Saccharomyces cerevisiae S288C: one gene and its partners. Changing the gene in region 3 together with the main gene of any one other region gives a genetic interaction. Each region holds a gene or a part of one and is shown on either strand. Other genes may lie near its edges.

Region 1 (5,279 bases), on a different chromosome or scaffold from region 3:
TTGAACGCTTCATCCGAAAACAAAGAATTGTATGTACAAGCCACGCACTTTAATAACACAATTCTATTGCAAATCAGACTAAATGGGGAAATGGATTCCACCTATGAGGTATCTTCAAAAGGACTAAACCCAATTCTCGATATCAACGTACCACTGGCAGGAAACCTAGGAAACACGGGTGGCGATTATGACGATGAGGAAGAAGAATTTGTAAGAGACCATTTATCTGATTATCAAGTGGTTACCAAGTTGGGAGATAGTGCCGATCCTAAAGTACCCGTGGTATGCGTACAGATTGCCGAACTATATAGGAGAGTTATTCTACCAGAAGTGAGCGGTACGATGGCCCAAGACAACATGCAATTCAGCTTGCTGATATCCATGAGCAGTAAGATATGGAGAGCAACGAAGGAACAAAGCGCTGACGATAATGATTTTGGCAAATTAGTTTTTGTGTTAAAGTGTATCAAAGATATGTATGCAAAGTGATTCTATATAAATTAGTTATGCGTTGTATTATCTATGACTGCCATATCCAAGACTTGCACAGTTCCCTTTTTATCACATAGGGTCATCAAATCTCTATAATTGACAGGATCGATAAGACCTGTACATGTCCAAGGATCCAATTCCGGCTTCGTTGACTCTCCAGGCGATGAAGCTATCAATTTACTAATCTTCTCAATAAGTTCGGGTTGTCTAGATGGCTCACTTATGGCCACTTTGACTTTCATCTTCGCCCTTACTATTGGAATAATTTGCTTAGAAACCAATAATTTGATAGCCTCTAAAGCTTGCAATTTGGCAGGTTTGTTAATAACAGGGCTGAACTTCAGTTCCTGTAAAGCTTTGTGGATCATTGTGGGCGGATATCTTTTCTTTGACACAGGATTTATACATTTAGCGCTAACTATTGTAAGCATTTCGTTATTAACTTTATTAAGCATTAATTGTCTTTCTTTTTCCGATAATTGAATCTCTCCCTTATGCATGATCTCCTCGATGACATCATCAACATTTGTAGTCCCGAAACACTTTTGTAGATCTTCCTTATTAGCAACCAAGCCTTTCGAAACATTCATGAAAACTTGATGTATCTGCAGCACTTCATCCAGATCTTTTTCAATTCCTTTTCGATAGTCTTGGACCTTATTTTGGTAGCACGCGACTTCAAATCTCTTGCGAGCCTTTTTTAATCTCACTAATGAAACATTAGTTAACTTAATCTGTCCCGACGGTTGATTGATAGGCATTGCGTGTTTTACCTTTTCTTTCTCAGAACTATTTTAGTAAAAATTTTAAAAACTTTTACTACTGCATGAAATCACTTAAGTTCGGCCTAGAAAAATTTTTTCATGAACATTATTATATATACAAGGCACTGAGCAGAACAATACACGCTAAGTTTTGTTCTTTCATGAGGTCATAATAAGTTAAATAACAGTCAATACATAAATGCAAAACTAAAAGTACACAGTTTTATTATTTTCTTTTCGTCGTAATGTAGTTTTTATAATCAGTCAACTTTTTTTTTGCTTTTAGATTTCGTTTGTTCCTTTTGTCTTTGGATCCAAAGTTTCTTGAAAATGTAGCCAAAACAATGCCAGCAGGAATATCGAAAAAGATGGGTATAATATAAGTAAAAAAAAAATTTTAACAATGAAATAATACAGGAGAATTCGTGGTTTACAATTTCTGGTTTTTTTCGAAATTGCTATGTGGCTTCTCCAACAATGTAATTGTAGGCTTTTCTTTCTTTTAAGTCCGTTTATCGTATACAGAAAAAGTGCAGGATGTTGTAAGTAAAGGTAGTCAGTCATACCATCATGACAAAATCCACCTCTTGGCAAACATATCTAAAATAGCTCTATAATGGCCGATGACACCCAACACTACGAAGAAATGCCAAAAAGTGTGCGAACAACCAAAATAGTCAACCCACCATAGAGATTTAAATGATTTGGCATGAGACGGACAGGAACTGCATTTGGAATGGGCTGTTGGCACCTCTCTAAAATGAATTTCCCTTTGCTTTGTGATGATTTCTAAATCAGTAGATAATTCGTAGTTTGTTGGAATGGTCTTATCAACCTGAACGTCAGATCTGAACCGTTCAGGAATGAACGAACCGTAAAATACCACACCAACCAAATACCAAACAACAGATTTGTATGTGACGGGGCTAAATAGCGTTGCAGCATAATGAAGATCAGTCAAAAATATCAAATGTAAAAACGACAATACACCCATAGTAGCCAGCAAAATGAAGAATCTAATTCTTAATGGCCTTGCTTCAGGTCTATCAAAGCGAGGCGACCAATTCATAAACACACCAAATACACCCAGCGCCAGAGAAATACTCATGTAAGTGTACATCGCCCAGTAACATGAATACATGGTAACAAACTCCGTTGTCAATATCGAAGCTGTAATTAAGATCGTAATACCGCTATAGTCGACACACGCAAATTTAGAACGTAGCTTCAAGAAGGACGTTCCGTTGAAAGTATGCCAAAACACGGAGCTTAGCATACATTTCAACGCAGCTGCCAAAAACATGAAAACAATCCATCTAGCCTGTGGTGGAACCTGGGAATTCCGCCAAACTTCAGACTGAGGGAAATCGTAAATTGCCAAGTAGATTATATAAATGGCTCCTAACAAATGAGACCAAATATTTGAAGTTTCATTATGCCAGCCGTACCAGTTAAAGATAGACAACAAAGATTTGGAATGGGTATTGTAAAACCTATAGCCATGGATTATGTATCTGTTTTCCCTCCATGGGAATGGCAACTGATAATAATGTAAATGTTGAGTTTCACCTAGACTATACGCTTTGCCATGGTTGTATGAGTTTATAAAAGACTTGATATCGGTAGTAGGATTCAAAGGTTCTTCAATGAGGATTTCCGTCTTTACCATGGATTTTCTCATTGGACCGCAATAGTCTTTCACGCTGGAAATATAATTGTTTTCCTCTTTGATTTTTGTATCATTGAGACGACTTGTTGGGGAACGTAACGAGGACTTCGCTTGAGAACATACAGTTGAAGATGAAGACACCAGTGAAGTGGATGTAGAAGCATTGTTAAGCTTGAAAGTAGCGACTGAATTCACCAAAGTGGCTGCATCTGAATCTCCCAGTGAAAACTGAGATTCTGTATTCAGAGACTTGCCACTGTTTCTTTTGTACACAGAACTTGTTACTTCCTTTTCTTTTGTTGGACGAATTATCTCCAAATCATCATACCGCCCACTTTCAGAGTGTTTAACACTTTCATCAATAGTTGAAAATGGATGAGGAACGAATTTTGAGTAGTTGTAATTATAGATGGATTTACCGGATTTTTTCACCTTCTGAAAATTGTCCACACCCTTCTGCTTTAGCCTTGATAGAGATCCCATGGGTGAGGGTATATACTGAGTTAAGCTTTTGCTTGACGAGTCCATCATGTACTTAATTTGATTGTCTGTTGGGATGTGAACTATTTTTCAGCTTATCTGCGTTGCAGCTTCTTCTTTGTCCACTTTACAATGGCTAAACTTTACCAGACGACAAAACAAGTGTAGAATTTGAATCAACTGTGTCCTAAAGAAAAAATAATGTCCAAAAACTCTTATTATAAAACGAGTAAACCACCACTTCGCTCGAATCGCCAAGCTTTCTAGATGTACACCCACGCTGTGTCACCTTATGACTATATACCTTATCCATCAACACTTTCTCCATTTCCTGCAGGGTAAAAAGAAAAGTGAAGTCACCCTGCACTATACGAGCTTCAGCCCATACCCCACACTAAAACATTTCTTTTTCTGCGGCATTTCTTTTTTTTTCGGTCCGTCCCTGTCCCTTCCCACGAGAAAGCGTAATGATCCTCGACCCTACCCCACTTCCCCACGCCAATTAAAACAGATAAAATTTCTTTTGATTTTTCGGATACGCTAATTTCGTAGCAATTTTGAATGACTAGACATTTGTTGGATAACTACATAGTCTCCCACCCACCAAGATCTGCACTGCCGTCCGTTAGTCGGAACACTATGTGCGGAATCATGTTGCCAAAAACAATCTCATTCGCTAGATTCGCGTATCTCGCCCGATTCAAATAGACGGGAGTACCGAATTTGTAGTCTTCGTTGGTCTCTCCGTATTTACTTAGATAAGGTGCAGCATAAAATGTACCTCTTTTGCCGTATGACAGATATATCGCATTTGTGCCGGTCATTAAGAAAACTCCGTAAGCGGAGGTGATTTCGCATCCATTTCTCATATGATCAGTACATTCCCCCTGTAAATAACCTTGCAGTGCTATGCTTTTTTGAATATGGCATTTTTGGCCACACAACAAGCATACTGCGATTTCGTATTTATCACATTTATTCGATATTTCATCATTATCAAGGGAAAATTTGGAAAGGTTCAATGGTAGTTCGATAAGCTGGATATGCTCTGGTGAAGGATATGCTCTTGTGTTTATGTTCTGCACCATGTCATATATTACTTGCTGAATTCTCAAATTATCATTACCATCATTATACCTTTCTATATTTTGTGTTAGTTCGTTGTAGAAAAAATCCTTCAAAAAGTGAGTTAAATTGGGTAATTTAAAATACCGGAAAATAAGCTCTATTTCACGCTGTTTGACGTCCATGAAATTATTGCTGCGGTTATTATTATTATCACCATCACCATCATCATCATACTGAATGTTGAATAATAAGAAGGTTCTTCTACAAAAAATGGACAATGACTCTAGTAATAGAGAGCATATAAAGTCTTTAATTTTCTCTAAACTTGTAAAATCAAACCGAACGTCGTCTGGTTTAAAGAGATCAACATACTTTTTAAAAGTATTGAATAGATATGAAAAGCTTGTCGATGGTTCCTCAGATCCGTTTGATGATATTTTGATTTTATTTCGACAGTCTTTGTAAAAGTTTACTCTCATCATATCTCTTGCAAGCAACAGTAGTAGTTGATGGAACCTTCTTTTGAACATTTCATAGATACATAGGTTAGGCGGTTGCGGGGTTTTTCCTCCATCAATATTATCAAAATTTTGACTCATATACAAAAGTAGATTCACATTATTACCCTTTATTAGAAACTCATTCCAATTCCATATTTTACGAGAGATTTCGCTGCTGAATGTTTTTGAATTAACAAATTTTTTGTAAATAAACGACTTTAGCTCACAAACTAAATGTAAGGTTAAAATGCACTGACTGGATATTCTTTCCATATTCACTATTTTTCCTTCCTTTTTGTGCGATCT
Region 2 (7,791 bases), on a different chromosome or scaffold from region 3:
TTTTCCTATTTATTAAAAATGCTTGAGCGAATGGATATTTTAACACATTAGTGTCCTAAAGGACAATTGGATTTGAAAATAAAATGACAGTAATAGACAAAAAGAAAACTGAATGAATGAATGGACGTATGGATTGCTTAATGAATGAATGAATTAAATAATAGTTGGGCGTAAGTTCAGAAGATGAGGAATTTAAAACAAAAATAATCGTTGACAAAAAACGATTCAAAAAAAAATTAGATCATTTTGGTAGGGAGCAATGCTAACCCTGCAAAGGCAGTGGGAGGATTTTGGATACGTGTTCGGAAACAGAATACAAAATATAAAGATGGCAATAGTTTGCTTTACCATTTTTTTCCGGCTCAAATTTTGGGACTTTAGTAGGACGTCATTGCTTAGTTGAATTTTTTATTTTTTATTTTTTATTTTTCTTTTGTCTTTGATTTCTGCGTAAAATATTTGTACAGTAAGAAGGAAAGAAAAAGAAAGAAAAAAAAGTATTATGGCAAAGTGAATTGAAGTTCATCAGATGTTCTAGCGGTATTCATGGCAGGCATATTGGAAATACTAGCGTTGCGGCTCATATTAACTTGATTATATGGGCCTTGACCAATATGCTGCGACTTCATTGACAAACTTGAATCCCAGTTTGCACCTTCCGTTTGATATTGCATACGAGGCACAAAAGATTCATTGAAGTTTTGACTATTTGCATTAGAGTATGGCGAGAAGTGATTAGCATTAATTTTGTCGGTTTCATTCATCATAAATCCAGGCTGCTTAAATCCCCTTGAAACATTAGGATTCACATTGGTAATGTTAGATGATGAGAACGAATGGATTGGTGCAGCAGAATTAGGATGTGCCATTAAATTTGCAAACTGGCGGTTGTCGAAGTTTTGTAACGAGTTATGGCTTACCAATGGTGGGTTAGTTTGAGAATTGAAAGAAGGTGCTCCCATCGAGGGATATGCGTTTTGGTTGAAGTTCATAATTTGTTGCGGAGAGTGAATTTTCTGATCTTGTGCATATTGGTTTGAGAAATTATTGGTTACAGAGCTGTTACTTCTTCTATGGTAAGCATTAGCTGGTAAAGAAAAATGACGGGTATGACTCTTTTGATTATTATTGTTATTATTATTGTGAGCATGGTTATGATTATGATTATGATTATGATTATGACTATTTTTGTTATGGGGGTTCTTATTTTCGTTGTTAATCGTTTGAAGATTGTTATGACTCATTGCAGTGACTTGAGGAGATATGTCAGTGAATGGTATACCTGTGGCTTCTGCATAAGCTTTAACTTTCAACTTAATTTTCTTTGCATAGGATGTAGTTTTAATACTTGGAAGTAATTCTTTTGTAAGGACAATCAAGTTACCAATTTTCAATGAAAAATCGTTACAAAAGTTACCGTAATTCAATGTACTAGAGCTGTTTTGCCCAATTGCGTTACTATTTTTGTTGTAAGCAAGCAGAGGAGAATAATTCTTAACGTCTAATAGCGTTTGTAACGCATAATTACCAAAATTATCCCTGATTAGCACATTTAAATTGACTGTGAATATATCAATGGTAGTCAAAAGAATGTTCATAGAAGCATTAATCACGTCATCAGAAGCAACTGCAGTCCTTTGGGAGGCACCCCCATTGTTATTAACAATAAATCCAGTAATGATTCTAAATAATTTTTTAATGAATTTTTCCACAACATTTGAGGAGAACTTCAAACAAGATAGTTGACATAATTCATTGGATAAACGGTTAAATAACTCAGCCAATAAGTAAAAGTCCAATTCTTTGATATCTAACAGAAATTGGATGATATAATTACCGAACTGATCGTTGATTAATCCAGGAAGGAACTGCACAATTTTCACAGAAATTTTGAAAATTTGTTGTAGAGTACAAACGCTTAGTAATTTTTGTAGTACGCAACAACCATGTTTATGGGTAGAAATGGTAATGATATTATTTTGTTCTACAATAGCATCTATGATGAAACCAAATTTTGATGGCGAGAATTTGAAAATACACTTTTGAATCACATGGTTACCATTAAGATCGTTTATCAAAGTAACCACTTGCTCAATCGAAGTAAATTCTTGGGAAAATCCCTTAATAATGAGATCGATTTGAACTTCGTTATCGACAGTGTCTATAATTTTCTGTAAGGAACGAGTTCCGTACTGATTGATTGATATTTGGAAAACATTTGGATATATTGTTTGTATTAATAATGTCTTTTGCTCGGCAGTTAAATAATCGCATAGTTTTTGAACCAAATAGTTACCGAACGGATCCAAAATAAGGTCCAAGAAAAATGGCTTAATTTGTTCATACATCAAGTCTCTCACCATATTGGATTCACTGGGGGTTTCTAATTTTTTTTGAAGAAAACGGCAGCCAAACTGGTCAGTGGCAAGTTTGATATAATCCAGATCTCTAAGGGGTAGTGCGCTGATTTCGACCATAGATGAAGACGTTGAGCTACTCAAACCAAATGACGAATTATCCACTCCACATTTGGAAGCAGCATTATTACTATTGCTAAAATTTCTGAGAGATGCAGCAGGAGTCACTGAAGAGGATGGTGTTTCCATAATTAAACTGGAGGTATTGACACCAGAGTTCGAAGGAGCAACAACCGTGAAATCGTGGCTTGATTTTCTCCTGGGACCATCCATTTCCAGATCAAACTCATTGATTAATGGTAGAATGGCTGGAGGATTTGCCATTGAGGCTGAAAGCCCAGTGGAGTTGCTAGCAGCATTAGGATTCGGGGAAAAAGAGTTAGCAGAATTCGATGTTGATGTATTATTCATCAAAGCCAAGGGAGATTGTGTCGATGATATGAACTGATTAAAACCAGAGAGATCAAGCGAATGAGCCTTTTGATGGTTTCTTTTGTTATTCATCTGGCCCAAAGGCGGAGGGGTCACGGGCTCCAAGAGTGATTGGACGGAGTTAATAGATAGTTGAGGCTGATGATTGTAAGACATTAAGGAGTTATTTGATGTAGACGTAGTTAAAATCGATGCTGAGTCGGCAGATGGAAATGGTTCGTTATTGATCTGATTGAATAAAAGAATGTTGTGTTAGTAAAGTGAAACCACAAAAATAAGGCGTGTGCAGAGCCGATTTTGGAGTATAAGCCTAGGATCAATTTCGATAACTGAGAAAGAGAACAATCACAACCATGTACAGTGTCCAGGTGGCCTGAGATGCGTGAGAATCAAGAGTAAATCTATCTATAAAGTTCGACTTCAATGGCGACAGAGGATGGCAAAAAAAGAGGACAGGAAAAGAGGAAGACAAAACACAAAATTTATGCTTGATTTTAGAATGAAACCTATAACCATAAAGAGTAAAATCCTTATAACTCTCAACGAATCTGCATAAATTTTTCATAGATCTTCGAATCTTTTCTTTTTTTTTTTTTTTTTGCTCATTTTTGCCTGAGGCGCCTCTTTCCCGAAGCCCTTCTTTCGAGAAAATCCTTATAGGCATATTCGAGAAATAAGGTAGGGTCAAGTATCAGAAATTCCATACGACATAAACGGAGATTGTTAGACCGCTAAAAAAGGCGTGTCGATAGGCTGATCCCACTGAAGCTGGTTTTTGGTTATTATGCTATTTGTTGTTAGAAGATCCCGTTAAAGCTTATGCTCCATTGGCGAAGAAAAATATTGGGAATTAAGAGATAATACATACCATAAGAGAAACTGGAAAAATCGTAATTGATTTATAAATTTGCGTAGAATTCGCTTTACTATGTGTTGGAGAGGAGTTGAGGAGGTTTTTTTTTTTTTTTTTTTGGTTTTTTAGCTTTTATCTTAAGGAATAGTAAAAGTGGCGGTTGTAGTAGCAGGCTTTTGCTGATCCGTAGTCCAAATCTAGTAATTTCAAGGCGCTTGACTTCTTGATGTTATTACCTTTCTTTTATTACTTAACTTGCCAATCAATGATGTGTCAATGATCTTCTCGGGGCTAGCAGATCTGTTCTTTTTTACCTGTTCTCTTTTTGTGTGAAAAGATAAAGTAAATTATGAAATAGGCTGATCTTGATGTTGACTCAACAGTACCCAAGGTTTTGAAATGTGAATTGTGTTCAGTATATTCAATGTTTCAGATATATATTGAAAGGAAACCACCTATTATGCTTTTTAGGCCTCTATGTAAGAAAATCTATACGTTTAACACAGATGCGAACCAGGAAAGAAGAAGAGTTCTTGTAGGCCACGTTTAAGAATGGCAAGAGAGAAAAAAAGAATGATCACAAGAAAACTGATTTCAGAATTGTAATATCGGACGGCAATACTAGTGTAATCTGAACCACAAGGTTAGTCTTAGCTGGGTAAAACACCTGGCGAAAGAAGAAAAAAAATAAGGAATCTGGATGATTATAAACTTTTTTAAATTACCCTTCTTTTATACATGAAAAGGGCATACAGCATACATAAACGGTAAAGAAAAAGAGGCAATCGTCAGTATTAATTGGCTCTAAGCTAGTCCAGGAAATAACCGCGTATAAATCCAAACCGTACTTCAGAACATTCAGATCTTTCTAGCTACTTGAAAGCGCGTACCATTTCCCCAACCTTAATATGTATATTTTATCACTCACTATGCAGTACTAGGCCGCTTCTTTCTATTGCTTTTCAGATTGCCAGATGCAATATATCCCGCTTCGGAATTATTAAAAATTTAGGGGTTGGCCAGATGTTTAGAACCTCGCTTTCCAGTTAATTGCTTTAGGAAAAGAAAGGCCAATATTGTTGTCATTTTTGTATTTTTTGCGCGGTACTGACCTTTTACTGCGGCGTTTCGCGTTTTTTTGGCATTTCGCGTTTCAGTGCGGCCCCCCCTCCCCAAAAAAATGGCGTATATTTTTAGTTAGTTTCTTCATCGTTCGATGCCTAAGCCGAGAATTTCAGAAGGCTTCTAAGGGCCAGAGTAAAGAGATCCATTGAGCCCCCACCCAGTTGGCAGCGGATGCCGAAGGGCGGAAGGAAGGGGCGTGTATAGGCTTCTTTACGAGAGCAAAAGACATTACAACGTACAAGGGACATTCCGTTCCCTTGTACGTCATGTTAATGAGCAAGAAACCGCTCACCGGCAATGGTTGGTGGTAGTGGTAGTATGGACTCTTTGGGTGATGAAAAGTAATCAGAACATTCTGCAATTTCTTTACATTTCCAATACTTGCTCCATTTAATCCTTTCCTTAGGTGGCGATAGCCCACGCGAAAGACGACCTAGGGTCAGGAGATTATCAATGCACTTGAGGCTTTAACTACTATGGCTTAAGAAGGGTAGCTACTTTATTTTTGTGCTTTTAAGAAATGTAATCATTAATTAAGTAATTAGGAGGTCAAGACGAAAACCATAAATAGATTGTGTAGAAGGGGCCGTACATTTTGTTTCTTATGCAATGTGGTAGTTTCGTTTACCGCCCTCGCCGGTCCATCACAGCATTTTGGAGTTCCTTTCTAAGGTCCATCGGAGCACCTTTATTTTTTTTGCGCTTCGGATAAATTGCATTTGGTTGATAACTTCCATCTCCACCCGTCCCCTCGCACCGGACCTTTTAAAGATCCCTTTGTATATAATAAACCAACGGGTCCTATAAAGACTACCGCTGATATCTTCGGTTTGCACAACGTCCTTCAGCAAGCAAAATATGGCTGTTTTTATTCTCTGTATGTCCTCATTGATGAGGACTCGCAACAATCTTGGCTATTTTTTTCGTTGAGCATACCCGGTCCCTGAATCTTTTGTGCGGGTATTATACGAAGAGCGGGTGTGCCTTACTTATCCGCGCGGTATATAAAGCCATACATTGTTAGGACAGGTGTCCCCAATAAGAAACACTACTTGTAAGTGGTATATAATGCTCGAGCCTCTAGTGACTCGTACTCTACGCCTTGAAATTGCTGCGCACATATTCTGCATATAAAAAGGAAGCTTTGAAGAATATGGTACTACTTAAAGAACCTGTTCAGCCGCTGCCTCGATCATCTCTGTTATATAATAATGCGAGCAATAGTAGTAGTCGTATAAAAGAGACAAGAAAAGTCAAACTATTATATAATCCCTTAACTAAGAGACAAATCCTTAACAACTTTGAAATTTTAGCCACTTTGGGTAATGGACAGTACGGCAAAGTGAAATTAGCAAGAGATCTCGGGACAGGTGCGTTGGTTGCAATAAAAATTCTTAATAGATTCGAAAAAAGAAGCGGGTATTCTCTTCAATTGAAAGTAGAAAATCCAAGGGTTAATCAAGAAATTGAAGTAATGAAAAGATGTCATCATGAAAACGTTGTGGAATTGTATGAAATTTTGAATGACCCTGAGAGCACAAAGGTTTATCTTGTATTAGAATATTGCTCAAGGGGACCCGTTAAATGGTGTCCAGAAAACAAAATGGAGATAAAAGCAGTGGGACCATCAATACTCACTTTCCAACAGTCGAGGAAGGTAGTGTTGGATGTAGTATCGGGTCTGGAGTATTTACATTCCCAAGGGATAACGCATCGAGATATCAAACCATCGAACCTGTTAATTTCATCAAACGGAACGGTGAAAATATCCGATTTTGGCGTTGCTATGTCAACTGCCACCGGAAGTACTAATATACAATCATCGCATGAACAACTTTTAAAATCTAGAGCCTTAGGGACCCCTGCTTTTTTTGCACCTGAGCTTTGCTCCACTGAAAAAGAGTATTCCTGCTCATCTGCCATCGATATCTGGTCATTGGGGGTCACTATATACTGCTTGTTGTTTGGAAAGTTGCCTTTCAACGCCAATTCAGGATTAGAACTTTTCGACAGTATTATCAATAAACCCTTAGAATTTCCATCTTATGAGGAAATGTTGAATGGTGCCACTTCGGGAATCACAATGGAAGAATACACTGATGCCAAAGATTTATTGAAGAAGCTGTTACAAAAAGATCCTGACAAACGGATAAAACTAGCAGACATCAAGGTACATCCGTTTATGTGCCATTATGGTAAAAGCGATGCAGCATCCGTATTGACCAATTTGGAGACGTTTCATGAGTTGAAAGTTTCACCGCCCTCTTCATGCAAAAGGGTAGAATTGGTCAGCCTACCAGTGAATTCATCATTCGCCTCTTTAGATAGCGTTTATATGGAAAATTTTGACCACAATAACCTTAGGACTGGTGCTGACAGAAATTCAACATATTCTCCATCAATATACGACGCAAATACCTTATCACCCTCAGCATATCACAACATCGGTTCTAGAGAGTCATCCTATTCGTCCTTTTCCTCTTTCACATCATCCACCGCTTTTGCATCTCAGATCAGTATTCAGGATGCCCCAGCAATCGGTGATCAACAATGCTTGATAGGTGAGAGTGGAAGTTCATTAAGAGTGAATTCTTGTGAGTTTCCACAATATACAACTATGTCTCCTGTAGGAGAATATCCCTTTGAGAGTACGGAAGCAAGTTTGAGCTCTACTCTTACGCCTGTCGGTAATGTACCTCAACGTATAAAAGCCCACCTGGTAGAAGGGAAATCTAACAGCAAGGATGACCTTAGAATAGAAGCAGACGCATCACTTGTATTTGAGGCTAGCGACGCCCAGCGCACGAGAAGAAGAATGTCTCTTTATAAGCTTTAGCATGATATATGTAAATTATTTTAATAGATGTAATATATGATTAGAAACTTGATAGAAGGATCTAAGTTAATTGTCATGTCGGATCCTAATACCAATTCTTTTAATATTGTGTTTGTTTTTGAACGTTT
Region 3 (6,513 bases):
CAAGAATTGGTTCGATTTCCACCGTTTGTTGCCGTCGTTGTTCCATGAGATTCGAAGATGCAAAGAAGCTATTGACTAAATCAGAAGATGGAGAGAAAATTTTTATTGACGACTCTCAAATTTGGGAAGATGGACAAGGTAACAAATTTGTTGGTGGTAATGAAACAACTACGGTGGCCATACCATTTGTGTTGAAGTACTTGGACTCTGAGCTATCCGCAATGGGTATAAGATTGCGTTATAATGTAGAGCCCAAATAGAGAAATACCCTTCTTTCCAAATTGATATAGAATGGTAAATGAAGGCTTGGTCAATTGTATCATATAGAGGTTTTTTATTGAATTACTTATACAAGAGCGCCCCGCAATAGAATATATATGTATGAGTAAACAAATTTATATCTTGCAGAAAAATATCTAACTTATTATTGGTGCGTTTTATTAATATTCCTATATTTTACATAGGAGGAAATTACATGCATGAAACCTAAAGGGTTTGGAAGCCAGCGGCAACATAATCATCGACAGTCATCTCGAAGATACTTTTGTCTTTAAGTTTACTATTTATCTTGGGAAATACGTTCATATCAGATTTTGTAAATCCTCTCGAAAAAAGACACTTTCCATTTTTTTGGTTTCTTCTACTGCAAGAGGTGCAGGCTTTGAAAAGGACTATTTTATCAAGGTGTTTTATGACTTCATATGTGCCCATCACGTCAGGCAGTTTCCTGAAAAACTTCATTCGAAACTGGTTTATGTCGTCTTGGGAAAGTGTATAATGCAAATTTGAAGAAATTGATGAAATTAGGTTCCTATCCTGTAAAAAGATAATGATTGTTGCATTGCATTTTATTTTCTTTATCCTACAAGAGTCACAACTTGGGCCGTCCCTCTGACGTTTTCTTTTGAGTCTGTTCGTTGCTATAGATGAAACAACCGCTGAATCGGTTGTTTCGCCGGAAGAAACAGTTTTATAGTATTCAGTGTACTCTGTTGGGCAACCAAGCTTGGGAAGCTTAGTCTTTTCGGATTCTTTTTGCCAATTACTATAACTGTGGTCTGCACATTGAATCGAAGAAACTGGCATAGATCCTTGCCCTGCCTGAATGTTTAAACGCTTTGGCAGTAAAGAGCAATCAGAAAACCCGAATGGTTGATATCTGCCATTGCTTGAAATTTGTCCTTTTAGCAATGAATCGTCACAGGTGTAACTGTTCAGTGCAGGCAGCAAAAGTGCAGGAAGAGATTCATCTTTGTTGGTAATTACATCACAAGTTCGATTGTTCGGCTTCATATCTGACGATTGATCCAAACAAACCAATAGCTTGGTGAGCGTCAGTTTGCCCTCTTCTTTGTTAAAAATTATCCAAGTGCGTTTTCTTTCTTATGGTCTATATGATAGAACTAATTCTTCATTCAAGAAAGTTTTTGTTGTACGTAATATAGAAGGACAACTACAGCCAGTCGAAGGAAAAAAAATTCCAAAAAAAATGCTAACCTTTAGCAAGAAAATTTCTTTTGTCAAACCTCCATTTAACCTTTGGTGGTTGATAAACATGAAATGGGCAATTTCACGAAAAGCTAAACTTTGTTTTCGTCTCCGCCTAGATGACTCTACCTTCAGGAGTAATATTTACACTATTTCTTCGCAGGCATTCGTTTATCGGCTTGGCAGGTCTAGATTTTTCTCTCCAATAAATTCTTTCCAAACATGTAAAGAAGATTTAGAATAAGAAATTTTAAAATTTAACGAAAGAATATATGAGCTAGCGGCGAAAACCCGCCGAGGTTTTGCCGTACATACCGTACATGTCTCCTTTCCATTATCAGCATCCAATTTTTATCTTACAGTAGGATGTTCATATTAAAGGAAAATGTATTTAAGCCCTTTCTTCCGTTTTCTCTTTTCCATTCTCCCGGCAAGTAAAAGTGGGTATCTTATCTCTTTCACTCGACTAGTGTAAGAAACGTAATACAGATTTTGTTGCTCGAAGAGCAAGAAGTGAGCAGTATAGTACACGTCAATGGAAGCAGTTTAGAATGGGGAGCGGTTAAAGCCCGAGACTCCCCAGGTAGATTGCACAGAGGACGCGCAAGTTCTTTTAAAATCTTGCCTGCAGAAAAAGAAATTATATTTATTTTCTTTTCTTTTGCCTACTTTTGATAAGTGAAGAGATAAGGTATGGAGCCCCGTAGTTTAAACCTAGATTTGTCATTGAGTGCAAATACCTCATCTCTGCGTGTTCGGACTTGCCTTCCTAGTTTATGTAATTATTTAAAAGAATCGGGAGTTACATCATAATGATTTATAGGGTTTCTTATTGCTATATTTACACAACAAACTACGCAAGGAATGCGGAAGGAAAACGATACTATTTCATTAGAAAAACGCACCTAGAAAGGTTGAGAATGCGCTACTAAAAATTCTGAAGATTATTGTTTGCCTAATAATGGTCTTACTCTCTGATACCTTATATTGTCAGAATACTATTAAGTAAAAGTGAGATGGGGAGGCCATTCACATTCCTGTTCTTGTGTGTGGGTGCTTCAGGCAAAGAAAAAGAAGGCGCAGTGCATATTTCTGCAGTGATTCAAATGGTGAACAGTAATATTGATTATGAAAATGTATAAGCAATCATAATGCCGATGATATTATTAGGTGTATAAAAGTGTATATATATATATATATGTGGGAGGAGGAAAACTACAGTTACAGAGAAGCAAGAGACGAAAAGCAAATTTATCATAACGAAGACATGAAATTATCCAAATCCGCAAATCCTTGATCGGTCAGTAATTGACTTGGTGGTGACGCTGTTTGAATACTACTCATTGGAGAGGTATCTGGAAGGTCATTCCTTCCGGAAGGCGTAGAGATCATGCTATTTCCTTGGATTATGAAATTACTACTAGATGAATTTTCCCTTATGGCATCCGGTCTATTCATACTTTTTAATGGTGGGGAGAACATTTGGTTCATCTCGTCTGGTACATTTTCCAATTGTGACAGATCGTGTATGTTATTTAGCGGATTTCTTTCTTCCTTCTTAGTGTGAATGTTCTTGTCTTGGCGACTTCCAGTTTTAGGCATTCTCGGAGAGTTTATTGACTGAGGAACTGAATGAATAGAACTTTGCTCAGCTAGGTTTGAAGGGTCCATCATCATATTTGCTATCGATGATGGCTGAGAGTTTAGTGATGTTAAACTCAGTTGATCGTCGAGATTGCTTGCTACGGCATTGTTCAATGCACCGGGAGATGTCGCTACGGTTGTTGGTGCCATAGGTGGATACCTATGGTTTACGTCAATGCTAGAAGATCTAGGTTTTCGAGTGAAAGGTCTGTCAGTAATGTAATTGGATGATGGCGATCTTTCCGTTTCTCTTTCTTTTTCGGGAATATCCATAAAACTCGGTGTCAAAGATAGCACTTCAACTCCCTTTCCGATGTCATTACTATGTGAATTTCCAAAAGTATTCTTCAAATACTCGTTTGCCGGATGATGAATAAATGATCTACTTCTGGAAGTTAATTGATGACGAAGTTGAGGATTTTTCGAATAGTTTTCTTGTTTGACAGAGTTTTCTTGCGAACCAATTTTTTCTTGCAATAATAAGTTTGCACGGGAAAGCGTTGAAATCGACGATGAATCTGTAAACATGTCAAATAGTCCATTTCCTTGATGTTCTTGTCTAGAAGAGTTGTTATTGTTCTTGTCGTTGCCATTACTGTTGATATTATTATTATTGCTATTGTTCATACCGTTTCCATTCATACTATTAGTCTTACTATAACTTTTGCTATTAATTCTATTACAGTTGTCGTTAATGTCGAACTTACTTTCACCAGTTGCAGCGGTTGCGGTTGTACTGAAATTTCTCTCAATACTTTCATCAAATGGCCAATCGTAGACCAAAGAGCTTTTATCAGTAACTCTTCCAACCCCATCAATGTCAGAAGGAATATATTCTTCTAGCGGAACGCTAACTTCGCCCACACGAGAGTTTGATATCGGCGATATTCGTTTTGAATGGCCTAATAGGTCAAGACCCACAGAGTTGTTTTTATCCATCATGTTAAGACGTGAATCAGCTTTCGCTGGCAAGCTTACCGAACTATCTTGCCAGTTATTGCCTGATTTTGAATGCTGATGATTACTGTGATTTTGGTTGGTTTCATTGATATTTCCCGTGAGAAAATTAAATGACATTGAAGATAACGGCGGGCTTTGTGGTATACTGAAATTTTGATCTAACGATTGCGAGGATTGTAAGGATGAAATGGAGGCCAATGAAGGGACATGATGGTAATCTTTTGAAATTTTACCAACACCCGGCTCACTGTCTAAAAATGTGCTCGTCAGTATGCTAGAGGTATCTGATAGTGCTCCGTGGCCGGATAACATATTGCTGTCAAGTGAAGTAGAAGACAATACCCTTTCAAACATTGGTTGAGAACGAGAAATGGATCTTCCTTTCTTTTGAGAACTTGAAGGGGACTTTCTTAGATGTCTCTTTTGAGCATGATATTTGCAAACCTCATCAGTCCCGCAGGTACACTGTTTTCTTTGTTTTTCTTTGGCTTTAGCTCTTGCTTCTTCTTTGGCTTTCTGTGCCAGTTTTTTCTTCTCTAGCCGGCCACACGTGCAAACACCTTCAGGATTTGCATTCTTGTTTTTTCGAAGTTGTTTACAATAGTCGCATGTAGTGGAAGGTCTACCTTTGGGTTTGATCATCATAAGCGGTTGATCTGTATGATTGCATGTTGTTACTCTATGGCCTCTTATGCACCTCTCACAGGCATACTTTATGCCATTTATCAAGACCATTATTTTTTAGGTTTTTTTTTTCTATACTTTTGTTTCCTTTTTCTTGTCAAATATGGTAGAGTGACAACAGAGAACTCTTTTCCTATGATAAAAAACCACGGGGTCTTATTTTGCTTGATTACGGTTTTTGTTTAATATTACAACCCTCTTTTCCTTGGAAAAGCTTCCCTGCCACGTTTTGTCTTGGCTCTTTTATTATAACTGATAAAGAGAACGGAAAGGACTTATAAAACGTGAACTTTCTAGTTTTCAATCAAGTGCTGGTGCTGTTATCCCTTTTTTTTTTCTTATAAAGTGGAAATGCACGACTCTGTATTACTAAGACCAATTAGCAGGTAAATAAAAAATGTGCAGCAAAAGGATATTTAGAAATCTGTAGCCCTCTCTTGTTTCTTTTCTCTTTTTCTTATTTTTTTTCTTTACTGAATTTTTTTCTCCCTTTTCTTTTTCCTGCCCCAATGTGACTATTGAAATCATGTCCAATAAAGGAAATAAAATTACCTCTTTCCCACAACCGGCACCACCAATTGACCTCCCGACTGTCTGAATGCGTAAAAAAGTAAAGAGCCTGCTATGCTCCACATGTTAAAGGGAAAAGAAAGGGGAAATGGGAAGAAAAATTATTCGCAAATTACCGGAAGCGTTAACGTTACGCCCTTCAGGGCGAGGGGGAAAAATTGCGCAAGCCCGGAATCGAACCGGGGGCCCAACGATGGCAACGTTGGATTTTACCACTAAACCACTTGCGCGAAGTATTGTGTGGGAGTAACATGTCACCCTGCTACTAAATAGATGTGGTTATACAGCCAAAAAATCATAATATTGTCTTATTTTTACAATTGAGTGTTGGAATGAAAACTCTAAAGTATCATCTGTTTAGTAGTATTCATGTTACTAGTACTTTATCACATTGGGTGTAAAAAGATCACATAAAGATTGAAAAACAGTCATCAGGTGTAATAGAAGCTAATTGCAAGGATTGATAATTTAGTAGGATGATGAATGACAGTCACATAAGATGAAAAGGATAACAATAATGCCATTATATCGAGAATATCGATCTCTTCGTGGGTTCTTCTCATAGAGAAATTCTAGTATATTCTAAATACGTAATATTATAGCCTTTAACAACTATAAAACTCCAACAATTATCAACTATTTCGCACATTTTTCGATATTATACATTACCAATCCTTCCTTTTTGACTTCCGTTGAATTTGATTACTGTCCCTCAATTTTTATATCATCTTCTTACACCGCATGTGATAATGTACTAGTAACGTGAATACTAGTCCATAAATAATACTTGACTCTTACTTCAAGAATAACATACGGCAATTCATTGTGTTCCTTTGGTAGATATGAAAGTAGGTATAAAACTTATTTTATCGTAACGTTTTTCTTTCTTCTTTCACGTGTTCTTTTTGTCTCGTTTTAGCAGGAGAACTTGACTTCGGCGGCAAACCAATATATCAGATTGATTAAGATTACGCGTTTTTACACTATAAAGGGAAGGGCATGGTATAAAGGAAGCAGTGTATCCGGACTTAATATTTTATAGTTGTTCTATAATTTCTTTTTAGCCTCAGCAACTCTAAAGCATTTGCTATATATAGATTAATATTACAAATATTCTGCAATGGCACCTCTTTCGTTGAACTTTAAAGATGACAAGAAATATAAGGG

Evidence for each region. A genetic interaction does not mean that the proteins touch.
Region 1: mutations in HAA1 (region 3) and SDO1 impair growth when combined (synthetic growth defect), as found in Saccharomyces cerevisiae (one study listed by BioGRID).
Region 2: mutations in HAA1 (region 3) and MPT5 impair growth when combined (synthetic growth defect), as found in Saccharomyces cerevisiae (one study listed by BioGRID).

The regions. Positions count from the first base shown.
Region 1 is NC_001144.5:183,674-188,952, forward strand, and holds SDO1 (guanine nucleotide exchange factor SDO1), read right to left. Parts: upstream 1,254-5,279; coding exon 501-1,253; downstream 1-500. Other genes in the region: IRC25 (Irc25p), read left to right, coding at 1-489; IZH3 (Izh3p), read right to left, coding at 1,825-3,456; putative ubiquitin-protein ligase UBR2, read right to left, coding at 3,990-5,279. UniProt on the Saccharomyces cerevisiae protein: Involved in the biogenesis of the 60S ribosomal subunit and translational activation of ribosomes.
Region 2 is NC_001139.9:163,281-171,071, reverse strand, and holds MPT5 (Mpt5p), read right to left. Parts: upstream 3,721-7,791; coding exon 3,718-3,720; intron 3,078-3,717; coding exon 501-3,077; downstream 1-500. Other genes in the region: serine/threonine protein kinase TOS3, read left to right, coding at 5,981-7,663. UniProt on the Saccharomyces cerevisiae protein: RNA-binding protein involved in post-transcriptional regulation. Negatively regulates expression of HO by binding to the 3'-UTR of HO mRNA. Predominantly binds to mRNAs encoding chromatin modifiers and spindle pole body components.
Region 3 is NC_001148.4:571,332-577,844, reverse strand, and holds HAA1 (Haa1p), read right to left. Parts: upstream 4,828-6,513; coding exon 2,743-4,827; downstream 1-2,742. Other genes in the region: DNA-directed RNA polymerase I core subunit RPA135, read left to right, coding at 1-260; SUT2 (Sut2p), read right to left, coding at 487-1,293; REC8 (Rec8p), read left to right, coding at 6,467-6,513. UniProt on the Saccharomyces cerevisiae protein: Regulates the transcription of a set of genes, many of which encode membrane proteins. Among the genes regulated are YGR138C and YRO2. Does not seem to be dependent on copper.